3 linked regions of the Astyanax mexicanus genome follow. The protein of the gene in region 2 interacts with the protein of the main gene of each other region in a biochemical or structural test. Links are inferred from orthologs where the notes say so. Each region holds a gene or a part of one and is shown on either strand. Other genes may lie near its edges. The genes, in order: bola1, glrx5 and bola3.

Region 1 (8,518 bases), about 28 Mb from region 2:
GCTATTTTGTTAAATGGCTGGATGTTGTCTGTGAACAGATGCCATGTTGAACATATATTTGAATATTTGAATCACTGGCCTCCTAATTTGTAAAACGACTCATACATACTACTCTATGTATTACCAGTAGAGCAATGTCTTAAAGCAATAAAAATATCTAAAACCAATCTCATAATAATAAAAAAAAAACATCCTTTACATGGCGCAACTATCTAAGTGCTCCCCAGTGATGCCACAGCCATCCATAAGTTCCAGACAGCACAAATGGCTTTGATCTCACATGGATGGGTAATATGACCCTCAGCCAGCGTTGGCAAATTAAAGATTTTCTGAAATCTATCTGTGTATCTTTTTGACAAGACTTTAGATAATCTCTCTTACCAAAATATTATTATTTGCAGTGTAGAAAAATGACGATTTGTTACCAAAGTAGTTCTGTGATGGATTCTAAGCACACAATCAGCCACAGCCTAAACTCAGCGTCCCACAGTCAGGCCAGTCAGGCTTCTCTGTGCTCCAGCAAAAACAACTTAAGCAAATCAGACTTTAATTAAGGGATCCCAGTACAAATCACTCAAGAACCTGCCTTTTACTTTTTCACTATAAGGTCAGAAACAAACCATCAGTGACAATCTGAGCAGGAGCAAAAAACTAGAGAGCTGCCACTCATATAGGACCCAAACCAGAGTTGCACAATGATCTACTCAGTTACAAACGAAACAGAGCAACAAACTCACGTTTTATACCCTACAGAGTCTCCTAAATAGAGCTTTGCAAAAAAAAGGTTGGCACTAGGATGGCAGAGGATGGCACTATTAAAGTGTTTAGTGCTGTCACTGTCATTTATAATTTAATAACCTTGCAGTTATCTTGATTTAATCATGTTTTTTGCCCTAAACAATGTACAAAACATATTATTAATACACTTTGCACTGCATTTAAAAATTGCAGTTCATATATATTCTTTTATATATTGTTAATATTGATAACTGACTTTACCTTAAGTTTAATCTTAATGGAAATTAAATTATGTTGGATAAATTAACCATTTATTAAAACATGTGGTTGTAGTATAAAATTTAACTACAAAAATTACAATTAGTCCAGTACAGAAGAAATTGTCAGTTGTTACAGAAACAGGTTTATACACAAGCCTGATACCTTGTATATAAGTTGAATAACACATGGCCCAACATGTTTAAAAAGTATTTTAAGGAATTTAATAGTTAAGTGGAGTTATGAATATAACTTAATTTTGGGAGACTGATCCACGCCCTTGCTCCTCTTATTCCCCACCCTATATAAACCCTCAATTCCTCTCTCCCTGCGTGTCCAACAACTTCACACCCACCTCCTCCCCATCTTCCTCCTTCTTCCCTTTACTCTTGCCATTTCCTGTATCTCTTCTCGTGGGCGGGGCTTCAGCTTTACAGCCCTGCAAAGCTGCCCCAAACTCCTGCCCAAAACCTCTGAGCCCCTTTTTTATTTTCCATCTAAGGGCGTGGGAAATACTAGCAAATTAAATGTTTAATATGGCATAATGTTTAATGCATTTATAAAATGAACAAAATTAAGTTCTAATCTGAGTAATTGTGACAGCACTACTCATGTGCATTTGAAAGCGTAAGCTTATAAAAAGCTTATATTTGCAAAGTTCCATTTAGGCACTTTGTGTAGCACCGTTTATTTATTATTTTTTATTTATCAGGGAATCAGATCCAGTTCAACATTATTTTAAGGTTACATATGAAAAAGCACATCCCGCATCATTTCTCAAGTTTGCCATTCCTCAGCAGGCTATCACTGCCAAGTCAGTCAGGCGGAGTCTCTGCCGATACCTGTTTCCATCCGCGGTTGTACAGCATGTAAATCTTAGGCGTCACGTCTCCTCCGTGTTGTCTTTGGTCCGTTCATTGAACTACAGACAAGGATGTCAATATCGCTGTCGTACGCTGTGAACACGCTGATCTACAGTAAACGATCTCAGTGAAGCTGTGGATTATTTGTACGTAAATAAAATAGCAGTCCTGAAATTTGTGAACTTCACCTGTTTGGATTGTTACTGGGTGTTTTAATGATTGTTCAGATTTCTCGTTTTTGTTTCTTGTTTTTTGTTTCGTATTTCGATGATTAGCAGTCAATCGTGTGCGCAAAAAGAAATCAAAGCAATAAAAGTGACTGACAGGTTTCTTTGCTCCGCCCCCTCCAGCCCCCGCACCCTCCCTCCCCCCATTCTATTGGGAAAAGTAAAAGCACACTGAAAAACGAACAGGCCACATGCAATGAGATGTGTAGTGATTTAAAGAAAACAATATATATAGAGAGAAATATAAATATATAAATATACATATATATACATATATAAATAAATTAATATCTGAAAGGCCAATGTCAGTGATTCTACAAATATCCCATAGGTCTTTTGATGCTTTTGTCGATTACAATGTATCGCCATGATTTCAATGTGACAGAGTTTATCACCTTATCATTGTACTGTGCTGTAGAGATTGTAGTTGTTTGTATGTAAAAGTATAAATATGTGGAACAATAAAAAAGTGAAAAAGACAAAAACCGTTGAACACAAGAACTAGAGTACTATTGTATGTTGTTCATTTTTGTGATCCGTTTCTTTTTTGTACATGAGAATGACAATGGCGTAACGACGTTGACATTATCATTGAACATGAAGACTATTTCAATGTTACACCAAAATGGTTCTGTATTAAAGGTTCGTGAGAGACTTCTCATTTTCCGAGTCATGCTGGGACCTGCGCTGCACCTGTGCAGTGAACCAACCCTGTTCTTCAGCGAAATGATGAAAACCTACATATGGATAATAAACAAATGTCATGAAGATCAAACCACTGGCTTTGTAGTTATTGACACAATGGAAAAGTTTCCAATTGGCTTAATTACTGGCAGCTGATTTAAGTCTAAGGTGGCTGAGTTCAATAAGTCTAGCCCATCCTATTCTTCACCCAAAATAACTATTTAAATGTACAACCCCAAATCAGAAAATATATAGCTAGATGCTGTGCAGGGCATATACCACATGATAAAACAGGATGGCACTCAATGGCCCCCCAGTAGACGGTGCTCATGATTAGGGTGGGGGCTCCAGCTCTTCTTAGCTTATAAATCTCTCTTAGATAAAATAATGCACATTATAATAGCATTATAGTGGCATTAATACAATACATGAAAAATTGTGGAAATAAATAAATACATGAATAAATGTGGAAATAAATAAAAAAGGTAGAAATGTTGAAATAAATAAATGAAAAAAATATATATATTGAAATACATAAATAAATATATGCAGAAATATATATTCCAACGAATGGGCGCCAGTTTCTTGTTGTAACTCTTCCAAATTAAACGTATTATTTTAAAAATCTTTTTTCAAATCTGAATCTAATAACATATTTAACTATTCAAAACATGTTCTGGTCAAACTCAGGCAGCTTTACTTAAAATTTTACAAGGTTTCTAAGCCAAAGATGGCTACAAAACTCATGTCACACATAAAAAGCATGTTTAAAAGCAAGTCCACAAATTCCTTTAATTTTCTCTCAAGAAAGTCTTTATTTTAAATAAATGATTGACGGCATGCTAAAATAATTTATATTTATGACAAAAAAAAAAAAAAAACACTCGTTCCGGTCACTGGAACTCCTGTTACTTTTTATGTTTTGAGTAACAGTAATGGGTTTTTAGCATAGAATTAACAAAAACATGAAAAATAGCTAAATGGCAGCTATGCTTACAGCATGAGGACACTGAGCTCATTCTAGTGATTTTCCCATAATTTGTGTTTTAAAAATAAACAAATAAGATTTAAGAATTAATTTAGGTAACAGGAGAGAGTGTTGAGATTGAGCTCTGCAGTCATAGTTACAATAAAAATAAACATACAGAAAAACTAATGATGGAACTTAAGTTTGATCTTCCCATGATCTTCAGAAGAACCATCTGTTGTCACTTCCTGTTGTAGATGAGACTTGTAGAATGATCTAGATGATTCAGAGGGGGTAATGTGTTTTACGATAACAGGACTGAGTGAAAACCAGAGACACAACTAAAATGTGTATTTTAACTTAAAAATCATGGATTTATTATGAAAAAAATATTTTTAGAGCATAGATGAGATTTGGAGTCACAGAACAATGCAAAAAAAACTACATCTCTGAAGGATTTCAATAATTATATTTCATGGTAAAGTTTATAGGTAGAGAGTGGGGACAGGTAGCAAATGCTATTTTTTAAGTGTTCTAAGTCTTTTTTTTTATTAATGTTTTAATACCATATCTTACTTTTGCAATTGGGTTAATGTACAAGACACTATGCTTAAAAATAAAATGTATTTTAAAGTTATTTTGTATGCACATTTATATATGTAATTTCCTGGGGACAGAAATGCCACCGATTCTGTGGAATGCCCATAACAAAAATAATGTATTATTTTTTTTGTTTATCTATAAAATTATTCTTGGGTGTATTTATGTATATAAATATGTATTTATTTATTTATATGTACATTTATTTATTTGTACTTCAAAGTTCTCCGCCTGACCAGCAGGGGCGCTGCAGTGTGTTTAGATCAGTTTCCTCTACAGAGAAGAAGAGCTGAGAGAACAGAGGACGCTGAATAAAAGTGAGGTGAGAAAAAACTCAATAAAACATGATAATTACAATTTTAAACGTTTTCCTGAGATACTGGGGAGTGGGGTTTAACTAATACCTCAATGTGAACCCAGTACTGTGGGGGGAATTTGTTACAGGGAGCCTGACTGACTTAAGCTATTAAATAACAGCAGAATCCTACCTGAGTCTGTGTGTTAACTGTTTAATCTGTGATACTATGGAGAGGAATTGGTGCCAATTTAAAAAGTAAACACTACAGTGTAAAATGTAAATACAATCCACAAGCTGCACTGCTTTTCTGCACCAACATGCAGAACATGCAACAAAATTAAACGTAAATCCGCTGTTACATTACATCTCACTGCACTTGATATTTTTATAGAAAAACAATGCGTAAAAATTTACATTTTCAAAATCAAACGCTGAATTTGTGTCAGAATTGCACACAAACTCTACTCCATTGTATTCCACTATGTTGCACTGCTGCGAATGTTCAAACGCAAATTCACAATGCACAATAGGTTTGGGCGATATGGGCCTAAAATAATATCACGATATTTCATGGTATTTTCACCCTATCGATACTCATGGCGATATGACAGAACACTGATTTAAAATAATTATTTCAAGAATACACTACTGCAAGAAAATGAAAATAAATTCTATTATTGCATACAATATGATACGACACACCCCTAACTGAGATATTAAAAAAGTACAAGAATTGGTCAGTGATCCACAATGTCATGATACTAACAGTGTTGGGAAGGTTACTTTTAAAATGTAATCCCTTACAGATTACTGATTACATCCCTCAAAATGTAATTTGTAACGTAATCAGTTACATTACTTCAAGTGAGTAACGTAATCTGATTACTTTGGATTACTTTAAATATTGTCGTTTTTTTAAGCCTGAATGAATGTAGCAACCACATATTGCATATTGTTTTTTTAATTTTTATTTCCAGTTAACAAATAGATAAATAAATAAAACAGCCTTTTCAATCACCCTATAAACATACTTATAAAACCATTTCATCAAACAATTTTATGAAACACTTCTATAAATTGATGATAAAACCATTAAAAACTATTAAAAACCAAACAATGTACCAACAACTGTAAGCTATCTATTTGCAGGTTTGCCACTTTCTGCAGGTGGTTTCTTTGCCAGGATTATCACATAACCATTTCCTTGACTGCTTTATAACCAGAAATATATGAAGATGTGTGTGCGGAGCCGCTGTCTGCCTCTCTTCCCGTCTCGCTGCCTTGGCTCACACAGACACCGCTGCACACACACATAGGGAGGAGTGTTCCCTGTCATATCAGAGCGATTTCACAGCAAAAACAATATTTATTTGTTTGTAATTATTCAAAATGTCCGCCGAGTCGATTTCCATGCCAGGGCATGGCAGGCTCTCGTCGTCAGGCTCCATTGCGCAGACTAGCACAACCAGGAGGTTGTGAATCATAGAATACTCTGAAGTCGTGATTTATGTGAATGTGATTGCGTTTTGTCAGTGTTGGATTGGAAGACCAAAAATAGGAAAGTACCGCAATGTAATCCATTTATTTTAGCAGAGTAACGGTAATCTGATTACCACTTACTGAAGCAGTAACTGTAACGGATTACAGTTACTCATAATTGGTAATCTGATTACGTAACGCCATTACATGTAATCCCTTACTTCCCAACACTAGATACTAATAATGCTAATAATGATACTGGACAGATATAATTTGTCTCTAGTAGATATATAATAGGAAATGAGAACAGTGTTAATTTTTCTTTTGCTAAAAACAGCAAAAAAAGTAGTACCCTGATGAGATAATTAGGGGTGGGTGATATGGCACGATATTTCAGGGTATAATATCGTTCACGATCTTTAAAAATGTTGGCGATATTATTGCGTATGATACAATATGGCACACCTCTAATTCACAGGATTGCATTACGTCTAGGAGCAGCATGGTATTCGTTCCAAAATGAAATGTAATAACTGTCCAATCAGAACCCACTACTAAAATTGGGGCAGGGCTGACCCAATCAGAAGCGAGCACTCAGCTGTACTTTAAACCAGAGAAAATGTCTTTCGCAACAGGATTCAAGAGGAAATACACGCTCTAATTCTATAAATTAAGGCTGGCACAGTTACAGATGACTGCATGCGACCACTCTTTCACAATTCCAGCCCCATTAATCCTCGCATTGTCATCTTGTAATATGTCCGTGCCATGAGGGAAGAAATATAAAATGCATTGATGGAATAACCTGGTCTATATTCAGTATATTCAGGTAGTCAGCTGACCTCATTCTTTCAGCACATACTGTTGCTGAACCTAAAGCTGCAGACCAACTGCAGCATCAACCCCACATCATTTACTTACTTAAATCCAGGTGATGATTTTTTTCTGCATGTATTTGTCTTAAAGTCTAGTTTTAGAATAAAACAGAAATATTGTTAGAATAATTTTATAATAATCGGTGTTATGATTATGAAATAACTGATATAGTCCTAAAGTAGAGCAGAAAGAAAGTGGACTGCAGGACTTTTTGCTGTTTTAATAAGAGCAGATAAACCTCTATTTGCTGCCCTGTCTGTACCATTAAAATACTCAAAGTTTAAAGTTTTCAGTGCCTTGTTTTAAAGGTCAGGCCTCAGAATTCTACCAATGAAGTGTGGCGCTATTTTGAGCTTGTAGTTAATGGTGTAACAAAAAAAGATGGGTTATTCTATGCCCCTATTTCTAGTATTTAAAGCCTGTTGGGAGCATCAGTTAAAAGTGCTGTATTTTGAAATTCCGGGGGTGAATGAAGGTAGACTAACTCAAGTCTGTTTAACACCGGATTTCTCCTTTAATACTCTTGATTTCCCATTACTTTTGTCCCATGTAGTGTATTTTAAGGTAGATGTGCTTTTTAAATAAATTTTTGGTATATTTAAATAGAACTGCTGTATTTATTTATGATCTCCACAGGCCTGGTCACTCCTGACCTGCTGATGTTGTCCAGCGTTCGCTCCGCCTCTCTCACCTTCGCCTTATCGAGACAGTTATCTCGTTTTGGGCCGAGCATGGAGCCCGGTGGCACTCGGCCCGTGGAGTCGGCCATTCGGACCAAGCTGACTCAGGCTCTCCAGCCGAAGCACCTGGAGGTGCTGAACGAGAGCCACATGCACGCCGTCCCCCCGGGCTCAGAGTCCCACTTCAGGGTTCTGGTGGTCAGCCCGTGCTTTGATGGCCTTTCTCTGCTGCAGCGCCACCGCCTGGTGAACGAGGCCCTGAAGGAGGAGCTGAGCTCCTGCGTCCACGCTCTCGCCATCCAGGCCAAGACTCCTCAGCAGTGGAGCAGCGACCCCAAACTGGCAAAGAGCCCACCCTGCCTCGGAGGCTCCAAACACGACAACACCATGGCAGAGAAGCTGAAGGCTGGACAGAGCTGACCCCAGGGACGTTTCCTCCACAGAGTGGAGAGTTTAACTCCTCAGTTTCCTGAAAGACCTGAACGTGGGCTCACACTTCAGATCTTCACTCTTATTATAGTCAAAGCTAGGATCTCCAAAATGTGAACTATACTGGAATTCATTGGATTTTCTTTACATTGTAAAAGCATTTAGATCAGTTCATTCATCCTAAAATCTTCACACAAAATATAGAACAACTGCTAGACCCAAAGTAAAAATGTATATATGAGTTTTTTGCATCTCAATCTTTAATTTTCTGCAGAATAATACACAATGTACAAGGGTCAATAAAGAATAACACAACATCATATAATATATAATAACAAATTCATGTTTTGACTGGACTTTATTGATATAAACTGAGTACTGCACTGAGGTCATATTGACTCTTATTACATTTCTGATGC
Region 2 (8,859 bases):
CTCATTAATTAATTAATAACCTATTTTAAGCAAGACTATATGTACTAACTAACTAAAAGAAAAGTAAAAATAAACCCAAAACACAACACTGTAAAGGTCCAAGAAAGAGATAAAAAGCAGGCAGCAGTGTCAGACTGTATCTGTACTATAGGATGAGGTTAAAAGGTACAGCAGAGGAACCATTAGAAAACAGCGGGAACATAGGACAGACTCCATGTGGCAGATCTGTATCTGAAAACATACCGTAAACATATCTACTATAGACACATTATTGTCCAGAATGGTTTCATGCACGCGCGCACATACACACTTCAGTTTTTTGGGGGTAGTATCTAGTTCTCTGGGCTGTGAAGTCGACGCCCAGTCACTGCTGCACATGACAGATAAAGGCAATCTGAGGGCACAAAGCTCACACTTAACGTTTGCCTTCACCGGAGAAGCTCAGCCATCAGCAGCAGCTGACGCTCACATTCAAACTGCACTCCTGACTGATCCTGAAAGCAGATGGAAGCTCAGGGCAGGGACTGAGGGGCTTTTCAGAAAGAAGTGACCACAGTCTCGCTGCCTTTGTCTTCTCCTGGATCACATTTCCAAGCTTCAGATAGATAAACTGGAAAACAAAACTAACCCTGTTCAGGTACATTTACATGAGCTTCATGAGCTACAGATAAGGTAAAAATGAGGAGAGCAGACAGTATAAAAAAAATTAAAAAAAATAATTAGTTGATCCATCATGGACTGCTACTTTCTTAAGTTCATAAGTAAAGAACATATTTTCACACCTGCCTACATTTATTTTTTTGTCACGCAGCCATAATCTTACTGTAAAAACAAGCAAGAACACCACTTAAGCTACATTTGAGATTTTTTGGCCTTAATGTGATGCTGATAAGATTTTTCAGGGCTGTGTGGACACATTTAATCTGATCTCAAACTGCATTAGAGTCATTTCATATATGGTCCCAAATCTGATATGTTTCCAGGTTATGGGCATGTAACACAAATGTATCCACCCAATGCTAAGCATTTCAACTATAAGCATATCTGGTCTTATGTGGCTGTATTACTTAGATCTGAGAAGATCTAGTTGATTGGGCTTATTCTTAGAATTAAAAGGTACTTTAGTTGAACTGTGCGGAAAACAAAACTTAAAAACCTAAAAATATTTTTTTTTTCAGGAAAGCCAATCACTTAGTTCCCAAATTGTCTGAGAATGGAAGGACACAATGAGTAGTGACTGGGCTGGTGAACTAGCAGTGTGACTCGCATTAAGGACACAATGGGCATTACATGGATCACATGTGACCAACTATACTACAACAGAACCCAATATCAAGAATTCAGCAATACTTAAGCGTTTTCATTATTCTGAAAAGCAAAGCTTCTTGCCTTATGGTCAAACATCCACCAATTTTTTTTTATCAAGTTCTAGCACACATATGCCTGATTTGTGTAACAAGCTATTCTTCTATATCTAGCACAGTCTGGCATGCTTACCAGTGGTGGTAATCCTGGGAAATACAGAAACCTGACAATTAAACTAACCAAGAGGTTAACAATATAATATCATCAGGAACTAAAGTGATATTAGTGTGTTAATGGGTCACCATCTTGGATTAGGGTTGGAAAACTAGTTTCTGTAACTATGTGTGGGTTACAGACTTATGAAAGTTTAAGGTAACTTGAATTATGAAAGCCTTTTTGCTAATGTGTTAGACCACTAGCTCCTTGAACATGAATAAGACAGACTACAGGACTCTCTTAATTAGCATTACAATCTTCTCTGACAAATTTTCTTCGTTTTTGGCACTAGGCTTGTATAACTGAAACTTTTTTTTACTCAAAATAGGCTATACTATGAGAAACAGGTTTTAATTGATGTTAGCTATATTAGCCTCACAGCAATATGCTTATTGTAAGCTTCCACATTTTATAAGCTACATTATACTTGTGGCCTCAGTGTTATTTGGGGGGCTACAAGCTTAAAATACCAGCATGTCTCAGCTGACTGATTACATTTAGGGTGAGATAAACACTGATTTAAAGTAATGCGTTAATATATTTTTTTTTTACAGGAACACAAATTATCATAACACAGGAAGTGCTATCCGGTCTATCTGTTATCGACCAAAGGAGGACTGTTTTCCCCCTGCTGAGTCTTGGTTCCTCCCAAGGCTTCTTCCTCTCAGTCAGACAGAGATCTTCCCTGCCAGTGTTGCTTTTGGCTTACTCCAAGAAGCCTTTGACACAGATCTGTTTAAAGCTGCTTTGTGGCAACAACTGTTGTGCTGGCAATGTTATGAAAAAATATAGTAATTCCTGATTTGTTGTCTACTAGTTTTCTAGTTGTAGTTCTTACAAAAAAATAAGCTTTGTTCAGTTTTTTTTATTTGTGCTATTTTCCAGGATTTCAAAACTGTGCAAGCACAACACTTATATGAAGCAAAAATAAGAATATACGCTGTCTAAAGCTTTTTTTAGGAATAGCAAGCAGCTCCCTTTAACATTATACTTAACAAAATGCAAAAATAACCTTCTCATATGTCACCTAAAGAAAAGTGGAAAATATAAAAATATCTGCCACAGAAGAGTTCTCTACAGGTTTCTGACAGTAACGAAAGTCAATCTACTATTTAAAGCTTGAGTGATGCCCTGTGACAGGGTCTATATGTAAACATGTACAACCTCTATTAAATCATTTTGAAAATCGCATTAAAACAGTACTTGGAATTATCCAAATTAAATTTTTAAAGCCTGACACTACACTACATAAATTAATTTAATTAAGATTTAAAGTAATTTTACAAAGGCCTGAAAACATACACAGTCATTCTGATGTTTTTTCTTTAATATATACTTAGGTTACTTTATGGCAAACTTTAATCTTTTCAATCAATCAATCAATCAATCAATCAATCATTATTTTCCCTAGGGATTACATTACATTTACAATGCAGTAAAGCATTTACACTTTAAAAGGAACTGAAAACATCTAGATAAGAAATTAGAACTAACGTAAAAAATGATAATAAATAACACATTTAAAAACATTGCTAATCTCAAACTAATCCAAAAAAAAGATTTTTTTTTACACATAAAAAGTAAAGAGTGTATAAAATATAAAATAAAAAAGGATATTAGTAAAAGTAAAATAAAATGATTTGAATATGAAATCATACAATGATTAATAATGAACTAAGAACAGAATTATTATTATTATTATTACCCATTTAAATATATCGTTTAATGTATGATCCAAATAAATATGTAAAAACTAATTTTATAATACTGAATTCAACTTCTCATCTATCTGGATCTACTATTTGTGTACTGAATTAGCTATATTACTGTTATATTAATGAACACAGGTGAGAATGACCCAGTTCTCTCTCTCTCAATTAGGTTCGTTATTCCACCTGTAGCTGCTCCAGGCGGTGAGACAGGCCCGCTGTGAGCCGGCCTGCTGGAGGAGGTCGTATCTGCACTGACCTTGCCTAAGGTCCTGGTCATCCAGCACGTTGTAGGCGGCGTAGTTGTCCACGCCATGCATCCTGAGGATCTGCACCACGGCGTTACTGAACCCGCACATGGGCTGCGCCGGGGTTCCCTTCATGAACACCACCACCTTATCCTTCTTCACCATCTCCTCCAGGCTCTTCTGACCCTCAGCCGAGCACAGGAGCCGCGAGCACGCAGCGCCGCCGCCGGGCTGAGTTAACCTGGGGAGCGCTGACAGCGCCCGCACAGACCGAGCGGCCGCTCCGAACACACTGTTCATTCTGAAAACGGTGAAAAAAACACCAACAAAACAAACAAACGACCAAAAACTCGCTGGACTTCACCGCTTCCTCCGAGACGCCACGACAAGCCAGACTTTTCAAGACAAGTCTCTGTAGCCCCGCCCCGCCAGCGGGTAAGCAGCACATCGAGAAGCTCATTGGTGCACGCGTGTTGGTGCTTTTCTATGATTGGCTAAAGCGCACGTCTCTCAACGCAATCGTGCGCAGCTCTTGTACGCAGGAAAGCAAATCCGCCGCTATCCAGGGAGGGCGCGTCTGAAACGCTACTATATTCCCTACAAAGTGCGCCATGCGATTATCTTCCGTGTGGCTTCGGCGTCCCTCAAGTGTAATACATGTGATATGATGCGCGCTGAAATCACTTCTGCTCTTAGAATACATCAAGGACGGGCTCTGGGATTTGTTCTAACTGTTCTTACATAGTGTCCTAACTATATAGGGAGCACATATGTGTTTGAGACTGACCCAGATCAAATGCTACCGGAACTACGGTACTAGGTGTTACACAAGCTGCTATGTTATGAAGCCAAACTTTTACATGTTTATCACTCGTATCCGTGCTAAATATAGCTTACGTGTAAATGACTTTGCAGTGTAGGCGGTAAATGACCAGAATGAAAAATACTTAAGAGAGACTCTTATTTTGTAAACGTGCACCGACGGTATTTCCGGGCAGTGCTGCTTAAATTCAGGCGCCGTGTCTCCTGTGTTGGTTCAGTGTTTTCGTTTAGCGCTTACAGGGTTTTTTTTTATTTTTTTTATAAGCTTTACAGGTTTTTTTTTTTATAAGCTTTACAGGTTTTTATAAGCTTTACAGGTTTTTATAAGCTTTACAGGTTTTTATAAGCTTTACAGGTTTTTAAGCTTTACAGGTTTTTAAGCTGTACAGTTTTTTGAAGCTTTACAGGTTTTTAAGCTTTAAAGGTTTTTAAGCTTTACAGGTTTAGCACTCATGTCAGCTGTAGGGCTGCCCTGCTGGTTTAAGGTAAGTTGTTTCTTTAACTATTTATCAGGCTTATATGTGTGTTTTAGCCTAATATAATCAAAACATACATTATACTGTAAAACAGGCATGTAGGTTATTTAACTAACCTTACTATCGTTAGCTAACCTAACTAGGTTCCTACTAGGGATGCAAATTATCGATTAATTCGTTAATCATTAGTTGATTGATCTTATCGATCGACTTTCGATTAATTGATAAGCGGCGTTTTTACCTGAATTTTAGTGTTTCAATAGGGCCTTTAAAAATACCAGCTAAATAGTTAAAACACTGAGCTCAAAAAGTATATATTATATTATGATAATTATATTGTATTATATTATATTATATATTCAAGTAATTATGCATTAGGAAAAGAAAGCAGACTTTTTATGGTATAAGAAAATACATTCTTTAATTTAAAAAGAGAAATAAATTAAGGACTGGCTCAGTTTTTGCGTTTTTGTACCATTAGACATATTAAAAAAAAAAAAAAAAGAATAGAAGAAATTAAATAGAGAGCCAAACAGATTATTATTGAGCCTATAGATTATGAAGAAACTGCATCCAGGCTATTAATTAGGAAATCCTCAACAATCCTCAATGCAAAGAGATCCTGAAACCCTGTACCGTCAACTGTCTAGATTGGCATCAAATCTCTCTTGATCATGCTGCATATCCTCTCTGTAATGTCCTCCGCCCTTCTCTCATCACACGCTCGCGCTCTCAGTGAAACTGTGACGGTGTTCAAATGATAACTGAGTGAGCTAGTGGAACTGTTGTATTTCAATACCGCATTACACAGAGAACATTTGACTTCTTTGCCTAAATTAACACTGTTGAAATGGTCCCACACCGCACTTATTTTCGCCCGCTTCATTTTGTTTTCAACCCTGGTCTCTCGCGAGTCGTGTTCACCTCTCGTTCTCACGCTCTGTTCAAGTTACTACAGTAGCGCCCTCTAGCGATTAATCGCGAGTAATACATTTTGTTCGAGCAACCTCTTGATCGACAATTAATCTAAAGTCGATTAATCATTTGCATCCCTAGTTCCTACTAGTTAGCAGTGTTTCAAATGTAACTACAAAAATGTTGTTAATTAATAGCCAGGTACAAAACAACGTGAGTTATTGTCTGTAGTGGTGTCAATCGAAAAAACAAATCATATTAATCACAATATAATTGTTATATGGAATTAGATTTATATTATTGGAGCCAATCCCCTAAATAATAATGATATTAAGTGCATCTGTATTTCGTGACTAAATCGTTAATTGATTAATTTTCTTTTTAGTGTGGTTCTAAACCTGGCTGACTAGTTTTAATACTTTTTAAACTAGAATGTTGTAATGTGCTGAGATACTAAGTTTTAATAGAGAAAATAATCAATAGTGGAGCTCCACCTTGAAAAAGGCAATGTGTCATGAGCTGTGTTTGTGTGAATAAGAGAATAACTAAAAGTTAAGCTACCTTCTGATGTGTTATGTGTTATATTGCTAAATAAACTTTTTTTTATATTGCTAACTAAAAAAATGTCAGTTGATTAATTTTCGGGGGAAAAATGTTAGTTTCCAGATGATCTGCATGCATTAATGTTGACAACCCTAGTTATTAGTGATGGGCAGATGCAGCCTCTCTGAAGCTTTGGAGTTTAGGCATTGGAGCCACAGAGAAGAGCGACATCTGGTGGCTGTAAGAAATAACTGCAGCTCAGCAAAGGTTTTGTGAACCCTGTGTGATTTTACAGTTCAGTGACTGTTCTGATACTTATCATTAAAACATTTCTAAAGTGCTGTAAAAAATGTTGTTGATTAGAGCATGAGGCCATCTATGAATTGAGTATATTATAAGCAAGATTTGTTTGCATGAGTAATTTATTCACAATTCATATTGGACATATGAAAATGGGACCTTAGAGTAATTGCGTGTCAGTATTCATTGTGGTATGTATGTATGTATAAGACGGTTTGTATAGTGATTTGTGCTGGATATATTATTGTTATTGGCTTTGACAAGGCAGTGCTGGAATCAGTGGTCATCTCCTGTAGATGGTGAACGACCCATTAGCACTGCCCAGATTAATGGAAGAACCGAAGGCGGGACCTCTTAAACTTGAGAGGTATTTCGTGCGATATTCTTTCAACACCTTTAACCCTCAGTCCTGTTTCCACGGCGGTGACAGTCTGGCAGTACTGTTACCAATCTCAAAACAGGCAGAGAAAATAAGCACTGGGATATTGTCTGTTTGGGCGAGCTGACCTCTCAGACACTTTAAATTGCCACACTTTACTGTTGAACTGCTTGAGCCATTAACGGTAATGTTCAATGTGTGTCCTAATCTTTTCTGTCTGTTTTTAGAGAGAACTTCTGACTGTGCTGTGAAGAGGTGACCTGATCTAAAGCATAATGGAACGAGATGGAAAAAGCTTTTCTGCACTAGTTTAATATGCCCTTTCCAAACGGGCCATATTCACTAATTACCCCAAGCTACTGCTTGATTTGTGCTGTGTGTGCTGCCCCCACTATTACATGTCAGAGTAAAGTTGGCGACTCTTGTTTGAGGCATTTTTACTTTTTACTGTTAATTTGAAAGCAGTAGTTTTTCTGTGTTAAGGAATGTATGCTAATTCATTCCTGCATCTTCTAAAGGCAGCATGGTCTGGGAGGTTTGTTGGATGTCATTTGCTTTGAACATTTAAACAGTATTTAATAAATGAACAAAACACAGTTTATTTAAATAAAAGTACTTCACATGTTGTGTGCATTTACACTTTCTCAGCAGAGAGGTCTTCATAGCCACAAAACTTAAAAAGTGTTGCTTATCCTTAAACAGCAGATGTTTGCTATTACTCCTGTTGCTACCTATGACTAACGAATGCAGAAGAGCAGAGCTCTGTTTTGCTTGGCTGTACTGTATTGTACTTCATTGTGTGATCTTGGGCTGAAACACTCCTGGCTCTGAGCTGAGTCACAGGATGTGTCAATGTATTTTTTTTTTTACTTTTTGGGGAAAAATGCATTTTCTTTAAAGTATCTTTTTTTATTGACATATTGGATGATATATAACTTATATTTTTGGTCCCCAGTTTTAAAACGATTGCTGTGGAAGGTATGTCACTTACAGTTGCACATGTTATTTGAACAGGGGTCAATTAACTGTATTATGAATTATCAGGAAATGAACAAATGAAGGAAAATGAACAAAGTGCAAGGTGAATTGTGCAATCCATGAGCATGATTACATATGACATGGAGAGTTAAAATATGTGTAAAGATAATTACCCTCTGCAAGAATGCAGAATAATTTTGTCCAGTGTATTCAGTATGGTATGGACAGTACATAAATGTTTTAATAATTACTGTATTTCAAAACCAGTGTGTATGTACAGTCTGAACAGTTAAAGTAATCACAGTCACAAGTCATCATTAGAACTTGTGACCACTATTTAACCAGTATATGGTGAGTGGTTAAGCTACAGCAAGTCAGAAGGGACACTACCCTTTGCTACTATTAGGGAAGAAATGGTGTACTACTTTAATTTTCTGCAGGTCAGCAGATTCTGGGCTTTTATATTATTAGCCCCAAGGTGCTCTTATTATTAGCAATGAAAGTGTTTGATCTGTATGATCTATAGCAGGCATGTCAAACATACGGCCCGCGGGCCGGACCAGGCCCGTTGGATGATTTAATCCGGCCCGGCATAAATTTCTGAGTATGTCAAAAAAAGAAGCGAGTTTCTAGCTCATTTCTATCAAAAGTTGTGATTTTTTTTTTAAATGAATACAAATTAAATGCTCTCTCCGGTCGCTAGAGGGCAGTAAATGTCCCGCATGCAGCACAGACACGGCAATCTTGCTTCACCACAGCAGCAAGTAGACTGCAGAGAGAGAGAGAGAGAGAGAGAGAGAGAGAGAGAGAGAGAGAGAGATGTGATGACACGAAATTTGTTTGCACTCATGAATACAGATCATTAAAAATAAGATTCATCTGGTTTCATATTACAGTTAATATTGTGCAGTATATGTTCTCAGCTTCAGTAGGCCCAGCCTAGTAGTTTGATCTGATGTAGTCTAATC
Region 3 (8,238 bases), on a different chromosome or scaffold from region 2:
GTGTGTAGTGAACAATCGTAGATTCTACTTTCTTGGGACCTCTGTGAATATTCGCAGTCCGTGCATTCCTTGAATCTCTTCCTTGAGTGCCTGTTAAACAAAATAAAAATATTAACATAATTTACTCAACCACAAATATGGATGGGTATGCACTAGTGCAATTTATAATGTACAAGTTATAATAATAATATATAATAATAATAACAAATAACAATAATAATAAATAATAATAAGTTATAATAATAATTTGTAATAATTTATAATATACAATTTATAGTGTCAGCATTGGTACTGCAATGTAGGCAGGCACAATATTTACATTACAGAATATGCAATGTCAAGGAAGGCAAATATACTTATATCGCTTATATCAAACTTTTTTGCTGCTTGGCATTAAAGGTCTACCTGTTCTCAATTTGTTTTTTGACATTATTATTTATTTTACAGAAACATTTAATAAACTGAGTGCATTATTAAATATAATGTCATGTTGGACTACTGACTTGTGGTAACTTCCTATTAAAAATACAGGTATTTTCACATCACAATATATATTGCAGAATAAAATACTATTGTAATGTAATTGGTTTCCAATATTGTGCAGCTTTGGTGTGAACATACGTACATGTACATATAGATACTGTGTAAAAGCACACCTATTGTTCACTTTATTTTAGAACTCTTGCTTTGTAAATCATTTATTGGCTGCTAGCTCCATCTACTGCATGTTTTTTTGTATACCCTTTGTATATATTTATAGTCTATCTATATTATTTCTATTATTCTGTTGCTGCTACCGGATGCCTACATTTCCTTCAGGATCAATAGAGTAGACTTTAACCTTTAATCGTGTGAAAGCTGCATTCAGGTTCAGAGTATCCTCTGAAATTGGTGGTCTGAGATGTGTGCTTGTGGGCTTGTGTGATTGGTATATTTTGTAAAATAATGATGATGCATCGACTTATTGCGTTATATCTCTTTCTGTCCGTATATCCAGTAACACTTTACAATAAAGGTACATTAACTAACAATACTTACGACAAAATGTCTCAGCTAATTATTAAATGACACTAGTTAAGACATTATTAATCGTTACATTTATGTGATAAAATAATTTACAGTGTTATTTAAACCTTTTAAGCAGTAAAATTTAGCAATATATAGTATTTTTTATTTCATTGCTTAATGAGCATTAATTGACTAATGTCAATTAATAATTAATTTAGACATTTATTAACCATTTAAAATATCTATTTTTGTCGTAAGTGTTGTTATTGGTGACCCTTATTGTAATGTGTTACCATATCTCCCTAAAGCCAAACTGTGATAGGACTGGTGTGGGGGTACTGTAATAAGGTTTGTGGCGTGTGTGCGGGTACTGACATCATGGCCATAAAGGCTTGTCTTTTGCACTGACCTATATGGAGAAACATCTTCTTATACCAGAATGGATGCATGGTGAGCTATCTGACTATTTCTTTCCAATAAAAATAATAAAAAGCAGCAAAAAACTAATCTTTTCTGAAAAAATTGTGTGTGAAAACAAACCTGATGAAAAAATATCTTAATCTGGTCTCTGTCTTGTCTGAATCTAAACTACTAAACATCTTGGTGTTGAATACAACACTACCAGAATGCACCTAGGGCAGCAGTAGAATAATCTGATCACAAGTCACTAGAGATATATCTCTTACTGAATCATGACCCCAAACTAATTTTATAAGCACAGTACAAAAGAAATATGATAAAATGTGGTACACATCTCTCTTCTGACATACCTGATTTACTAACTGGTGTTGCTGCACTGTTCTTTTCCCTCTGAATTCATCTGATTCAATATGTATTTCATACATTGCACCACAGCCCCCTGAAACAAACAGATACAGCTGATAGAGGACAAACAGACAAACAGCTGAAGACGGAGGAGTACCACCACAGTAAGCAGGGAAATATTTAACAGGGGAAAACCTGGATACAGTGCCTAAGTAAAATAGCTCACCTGAAATGTCCACAACTTTTAGTGAGGAAGCGAGCGGAAACTTCTCCTTCAGTATTTTTGTGATCCGGTCCTCGCCATCTGTTTTACTGGTGAAGCTCCTGAAGACATGTCTAAACGGTACCAGCAGACTCTGCAGGAGCAGTACAGGGGGAGCGGTGGATTAATTATAACACATCAGTTAAGCATAATCCTAAACTATATTTTTCTTTCAATAAAAAATCTCCATTCAGAATGCTGTCTAGTTCAAGATTAAGGTAATTCCCTTAAAGCTGGTAGTTGGTTTTACTATTTACCATAGTTGGTTAAACCATCAAACCACAAAAATGCCCTATGCTGCTCAACTAGTTTATCCATCTTAACCAATTTGAGCTGGCCATGATGTTTTTCTTTCCAGCAGGATCTACACCAGACATTCCCTGCACTTTTTCAAGAACAAAACAGACTAAATTTATCTTACTAATCAAGAGTACAAAAAACAGCAAACAAGATGAAGGATTGTAATAAAACTGAAAAAAGAATAGCCACAGTACTGTAAGGTAACATCTGGTTTATCAAAACCAGATAATTACTGCATTTTCAGAAGATAAAAATTAACTTTAAGACAAATTGAGATCAGGCCCTTTAAACAAATAATCCCAGATTATCAATTTATCTACCCACCCCTGGTCTACACACATTACACTACTTTTACAGCAAACTTCTTTTGATGAAAGAAAAGAAAAACAGAACAAGTACAGACACTAGACAAATAAACACATAAATAAACAGACAGAAATATAGACATATAAATAAACAGGCAGACAGAAAGGTAGACACAGAGAAAGACAGATAGACAAAATGTAAAATCTCATATCGCATATCCATATCTGTCTGTCTAACTGTCTCTCTATCTAACCCTAGGTGTCTGTCTGTAAAATGAACTACAGAAAGACAGAGACATAGGGTTAGATAGAGAGACAGACAGACAGATATGGATATGTAAAATAAACTACAGATAGATAGATAGATAGATAGATAGATAGATAGATAGATAGATATGGATGTGTAAATAGACACAGGGATAGTTAGAGAGACAGTTAGACAGACAATTGGGCAGTTAGACAGACAGATATGGATATGTAAAATAAACTACAGATAGATAGACAGACAGACAGACAGACAAATGATTAGATAGATAGTTAGACAGACTAGCAGATATGAATGTGTAAATAGACACAGGGTTAGTTAGAGAGACAGTTAGACAGTTGGGCAGTTAGACAGTCAGATATGGATATGCAAATACAACTACAGACAAGACAGATAGACACATAGGGTTAGACAGACAGACAGATAGATATGGAAATGTAAACTGAACACCAGACAGATAAACACATAGGGTTAGAGAGATAGACAGATAGATAGACAGTTAGACAGACAGAAGCTGAGCAGTATTAGTTACTCTTTTTGTGATCAGGCTGCGGAGCGGCATGGCGTGAATAATCCGGATTAATCACTGAACCGGTTTCTTTACAGCCCGCTGGAAGAAGTCATGTCCTCGCGCTCGGAGTCGCACAAATACTACGCAATCCAGCACTCCCCCCCCCCCCTTTTCTTCCTCAGCTGTGTTTTGGCGCCCCCTGCCGGATTTACGATCAACTGTTTTTCTTTCACATTTTTACATAAATTATTTTTTATATTGACTCCTAATTTTGATATGAACGGACCCAAATAACCTGGAATAAAATATTTTATAGTTTCTTCCAGATTTTCAGCTTTTTTTTCATCTTGTAACAAAGATCTAATCGAAAACCTACTTTTGTTATCAAAAAATTTAATAAAGATTATTATTTAAATAAATTGTCCGGAAATTCAAATTGTGAGGGGCAGCAATGAAAAACTAGACAACTGTGAATGTTAAAAATGAGTTTTAAGTCATTTTTTTCTACAGATAGATTAGACATACAGATATATGTATAAGGTGTTATTTACACTGGTGGTGCAGTGAGTAGTAACAAATATAAATATACATAAGCATCTATATACAGTGAGTCCAAGAAGTATTTGATCCCTTGTTGATTTTCTTCGTTGGCCCACTAATAAAGACATGATCATTCTATACTTTTAATGGTAGATGTATTCTTACATGGAGAGACAGAATATTAAAAAGAAAATCCAGAAAATAAATCTAAGGAATATATATTAATTGATTTGTATTTCATGGAGTGAAATAAGTATTTGATCCCTTAGTATTCATTAGCAGTTCTGGCTTTTACAGACCAGTTAGACACTCCCAATCAACTTGTTACCTGACCTGAAGCCACCTGTTCTCACTAATCACTTGTGTGAAAAACACCTGTCCACAGAATCAGACAGATCACACAGATTTCAAGTCTCCAACATGGGTAAAACCAAAGAGCTGTCACAGGACCTCAGAGTCAGAATTGTTGACCTTCACAAAGCTGGAATGGGCTACAAAAAGATTAGTAAGGTGTTGGATGTGAAAGTAACAACTATTGGTGCAATTATCAGAAAGTTTAAAGAGTATAACATGACAATCAACAGACCTCGGCCCGGTGCTCCAAAGAAGATTTCGCCTCGTGGGGTGGCAATGATGCTGAGAACGGTCAGAAATCGTCCTGCAACCACTCGGCACGAGTTAGCAAATGACCTGAAGGCAGCTGGGACCACAGTTTGCAAGGAAACAAATGGCAACACTTTGCGCAACAATGAATTCACATCCTGCAGTGCCCGAAAGGTACCCCTGCTGAAGAGAGCACATGTGGAGGCGCGCCTCAAGTATGCCAATGATCATTTGAAAGATGAACCAAGTTATTGGGAGAAGGTTTTGTGGTCAGACGAGACCAAAATTGAACTTTTTGGCCTCAACTCCACCCGCCATGTGTGGAGGAAGAAAAATGCTGCCTATGACCCCAAGAACACTGTGCCCACCGTCAAGCATGGAGGTGGAAGCATAATGTTTTGGGGGTGTTTCTCTGCCAAGGGTACAGGGCTACTTCACCGCATCACTGGGAAGATGGATGGAGCCATGTACCGCACAATCCTGAGGGACAACCTCCTCCCCTCTGCCAGGGATCTGAAAATGGGCCGTGGTTGGGTCTTCCAACATGATAACGACCCTAAACATACAGCAAAGGCAACAAAGGATTGGCTCAAGAAAAATCACATTAAGGTCATGGAGTGGCCCAGCCAGTCGCCAGACCTCAATCCGATCGAAAATCTATGGAGGGAGCTGAAGGTCAGAGTTGCCAAGCGACAGCCCACCAACCTTCATGATTTAGAGAGGATCTGCAAAGAAGAGTGGGCCAAAATTCCCCCTGGTGTGTGTGCTAAACTTGTGGTTAACTACAACAAACGTCTCACCGCTGTGCTTGCAAACAAAGGCTTTGCCACTAAGTACTGAGTGTGTTTGGCAAGAGGGATCAAATACTTATTTTCCTCATTGAAATACAAATTAATTAAAATATATTCTTTAAAATTATATTCTGGATTTTTGTCTTGATATTCTGTCTCTCCATGTTAGAATATATCTACCATTAAAAGTGCAGAAGGATAGTGTCTTTATTAGTGGGCAAACAAAGAAAATCAGCAAGGGATCAAATACTTCTTGGACTCACTGTACATACAGTACCAGTCTGAAGTTTGGACACACCTTCTCAATCAATATTTTCTTTATTTCTATATTCAATTGATTTTCTACATTATAGAATATTATTAAAGACATGAAAACAATTAAGGAACACATATGGAATTACGTAGTAAACAGTAAAAAAAGCGTTTGTCCTCCAAAAGCCCCTGCTCTAAACCCAATACACCAAGATTGTAAGATTGATGTTGTCTTGATAACGCATGGCTTCAGGGTATTATTTGACTGTTATTCTGTCCCTGCATGTTGTGAGGTAGGTATTAAAGATTTGAGTGAATAGGTTTATTTTTCTCTCTTTTCCTGGTCTGATAGAACACCAGGGTAAGGACGGAGTGTGTAACTGTTTATTCTTCACAGTATGTTACTATAAAACTGTTTATTTTAAAGTTAGTATAATGGTGGGGAATGGACACACAAGCACAAAATCAAAATGTATGTATTATTTTCTTACAAATACAAATTTGCATTTTGATTTAAACACATAGATTACTTAAAAAAAAAGAGAAATCTTATATTTCTCTTTTTGGGACACCATACACACACAAACACACACACAAACACACACACACACACACCTCAACATTTCTAATTTACACATTTTGTACAGTACATAAAATGACATGAATTAATTATGAATTATGAATTAATTTAGAGGTAAAATATAAAATATCAGATAGTTAGTTTTGCTGGATAAAATATCAATCACATGCATTATTTTCTTGCACTTGATTTTGTGTCACCTTGCATTAATCACATCTCAAACCAGTCTTTTTTTTAGATTTTAGAAGAAATAAGATAATAAACAAAGGTCCCAATAATTTTGTCTAAAGAGCGTAAAAAAAAGGCTAAATATGAAAATACAATGAAACAGCAACATAAGTGTTAACTGGTCAGTCTCCTGCAGATGTGGCCACAGGGGTTTTAGGGTTGCTGTAAACTGTAAACAGTATATCAGAGTTTTTGGTCTCGTCCCATTTAAGCGGTCAAGTCTTCCACAGACAGCAGCTCCTCCTTCAGGTCTGAGGTTTAGTCGCTCTGTGAGATGAAGAATCCGTGCATGTCTAAGTGCAGCTCTGCCTCCACGTGTACTCTCGCCAGTTCTTTAAAGGACTTCCCATCAAGCACCAGGAGAAAGTCAGACTGACCCGGGTTGCTGTTTATAACTGATGTTAGAATTACACCTGAATATGGAGAGAAGATAAATCCAGGTTGTGGTTGGATACGAAGTAAAAACATATATCATTCTCACACCCTATTGGTTTATACTGCCCCCCCCCCCACACACACACAAACACATTCCAGCACAAACATAACAGACGTATGTAGCCTAGTATGAAGATGATCCTGCAGAGACTCAAGAGAACTACAAACAAACTCCAACCCAGGGCAGAAACCTGTGAATGGGCAGAAGCCTGTGACTGAGCAGAAGCCTGTGAATAAGCAGAAGCCTGTGGCTGGACAAAAGCCTGTGACTGGGCAGAAGCCTGTGAATGGGCAGAAGCCTGTGACTGGGCAAAAGCCTGTGACTGGGCAGAAGCCTGTGACTGGGCAGCAGAAGCCTGTGTGAATAAGCAGAAGCCTGTGACTGGACAAAAGCCTGTGACTGGGCAGAAGCCTGTGAATGGGCAGAAGCCTGTGACTGGGCAAAAGCCTGTGGCTTAAACTTTAATATATTTATATTCTACTAAAATACATTCATATATGCAGCTGAAACAGGGAACAACGTAGTGCATCCCAAACTGATCAACATTAACATTTTTCAACAATAACATTTTTCTCCTTACATTACTTTTACTTTTATAATTGAAGTAGTTTTAAAACCATCTTAGTATTTTTTACACCTTTGCACAAAACAGGGGTTAGTAATCAAAACATATTTAAATATTTTGTGATAAACAAGGCTATTTTACGATTGTTTAAAGTGAATTATTTTTCAAATCTGACTAAAAGAAAAGTTAATAATAAACTGATAATAAACTAATAATAAAATGAACCACTGTCTGACACCAATTTTTACATTTAAACTAAGGGATGCACCAATGTAAATTCTTGGCCGATGCCAAAGTATGTTTATATTTGCTAATGCCAATATGTTGTATTACTGTAAGGTCAATGTTGTTATATATTTTATAAAAAAAAGTTGAATATGTCAATATGTGAGATATATCACTCAGCTGAGGTGAATCTGCCCGGAAACCTAACGTGAAAAGCAAACTTTTAGAATTGTAATAAGCTCACCATCATCCTCCTCAGTTGCTCCCGGCCTGGTAATGAACACAGGTTCAGAGGGATAGCAGTTCTCTGCAGTCCACTCCAGCTGCTGCTTTGTCTCCACATCCAGCTTCGTGATCTGATCAAACGATTCACATCATTGTTACATTAATTACATTATTACATTTTTCGATAGCAAAAAAGAAGAAGAGTCAGTGAATGTGTCTTATGTTAATATAAAAATTTACTTTTTTCTAATTTTAGTAGCAATATCACACTTTATATATCACTTTATATTCTTTATTGCTATACATATTCTGAATGTTTCATACTGCAGTTTTAACCCTTGTGTGGTGTTCATATTTTTGTTACTTGGTTACTTTGT

Evidence for each region.
Region 1: the proteins of glrx5 (region 2) and bola1 form a complex in vitro, tested with the Homo sapiens proteins (2 studies listed by BioGRID). The link is inferred for Astyanax mexicanus from reciprocal best matches to the Homo sapiens genes GLRX5 and BOLA1.
Region 3: the proteins of glrx5 (region 2) and bola3 form a complex in vitro, tested with the Homo sapiens proteins (4 studies listed by BioGRID and IntAct, with this or other methods). The link is inferred for Astyanax mexicanus from reciprocal best matches to the Homo sapiens genes GLRX5 and BOLA3.

Annotation. Positions count from the first base shown.
Region 1 is NC_064408.1:115,498,122-115,506,639, forward strand, and holds the start of bola1 (bolA-like protein 1), read left to right. Parts: upstream 1-4,580; 5' UTR 4,581-4,659; intron 4,660-7,626; 5' UTR 7,627-7,649; coding exon 7,650-8,090; 3' UTR 8,091-8,518. UniProt on the Homo sapiens protein: Acts as a mitochondrial iron-sulfur (Fe-S) cluster assembly factor that facilitates (Fe-S) cluster insertion into a subset of mitochondrial proteins. Probably acts together with the monothiol glutaredoxin GLRX5. May protect cells against oxidative stress.
Region 2 is NC_064408.1:87,802,287-87,811,145, forward strand, and holds the start of glrx5 (glutaredoxin-related protein 5, mitochondrial), read right to left. Parts: upstream 3,909-8,859; 5' UTR 3,779-3,908; coding exon 3,490-3,778; intron 1-3,489.
Region 3 is NC_064423.1:34,726,592-34,734,829, reverse strand, and holds the start of bola3 (bolA-like protein 3), read right to left. Parts: upstream 3,555-8,238; 5' UTR 3,468-3,554; coding exon 3,438-3,467; intron 2,130-3,437; coding exon 2,000-2,129; intron 1,868-1,999; coding exon 1,779-1,867; intron 91-1,778; coding exon 25-90; 3' UTR 1-24. Other genes in the region: bco1 (beta,beta-carotene 15,15'-dioxygenase), read right to left, coding at 6,669-6,823, 7,881-7,992. UniProt on the Homo sapiens protein: Acts as a mitochondrial iron-sulfur (Fe-S) cluster assembly factor that facilitates (Fe-S) cluster insertion into a subset of mitochondrial proteins. Probably acts together with NFU1.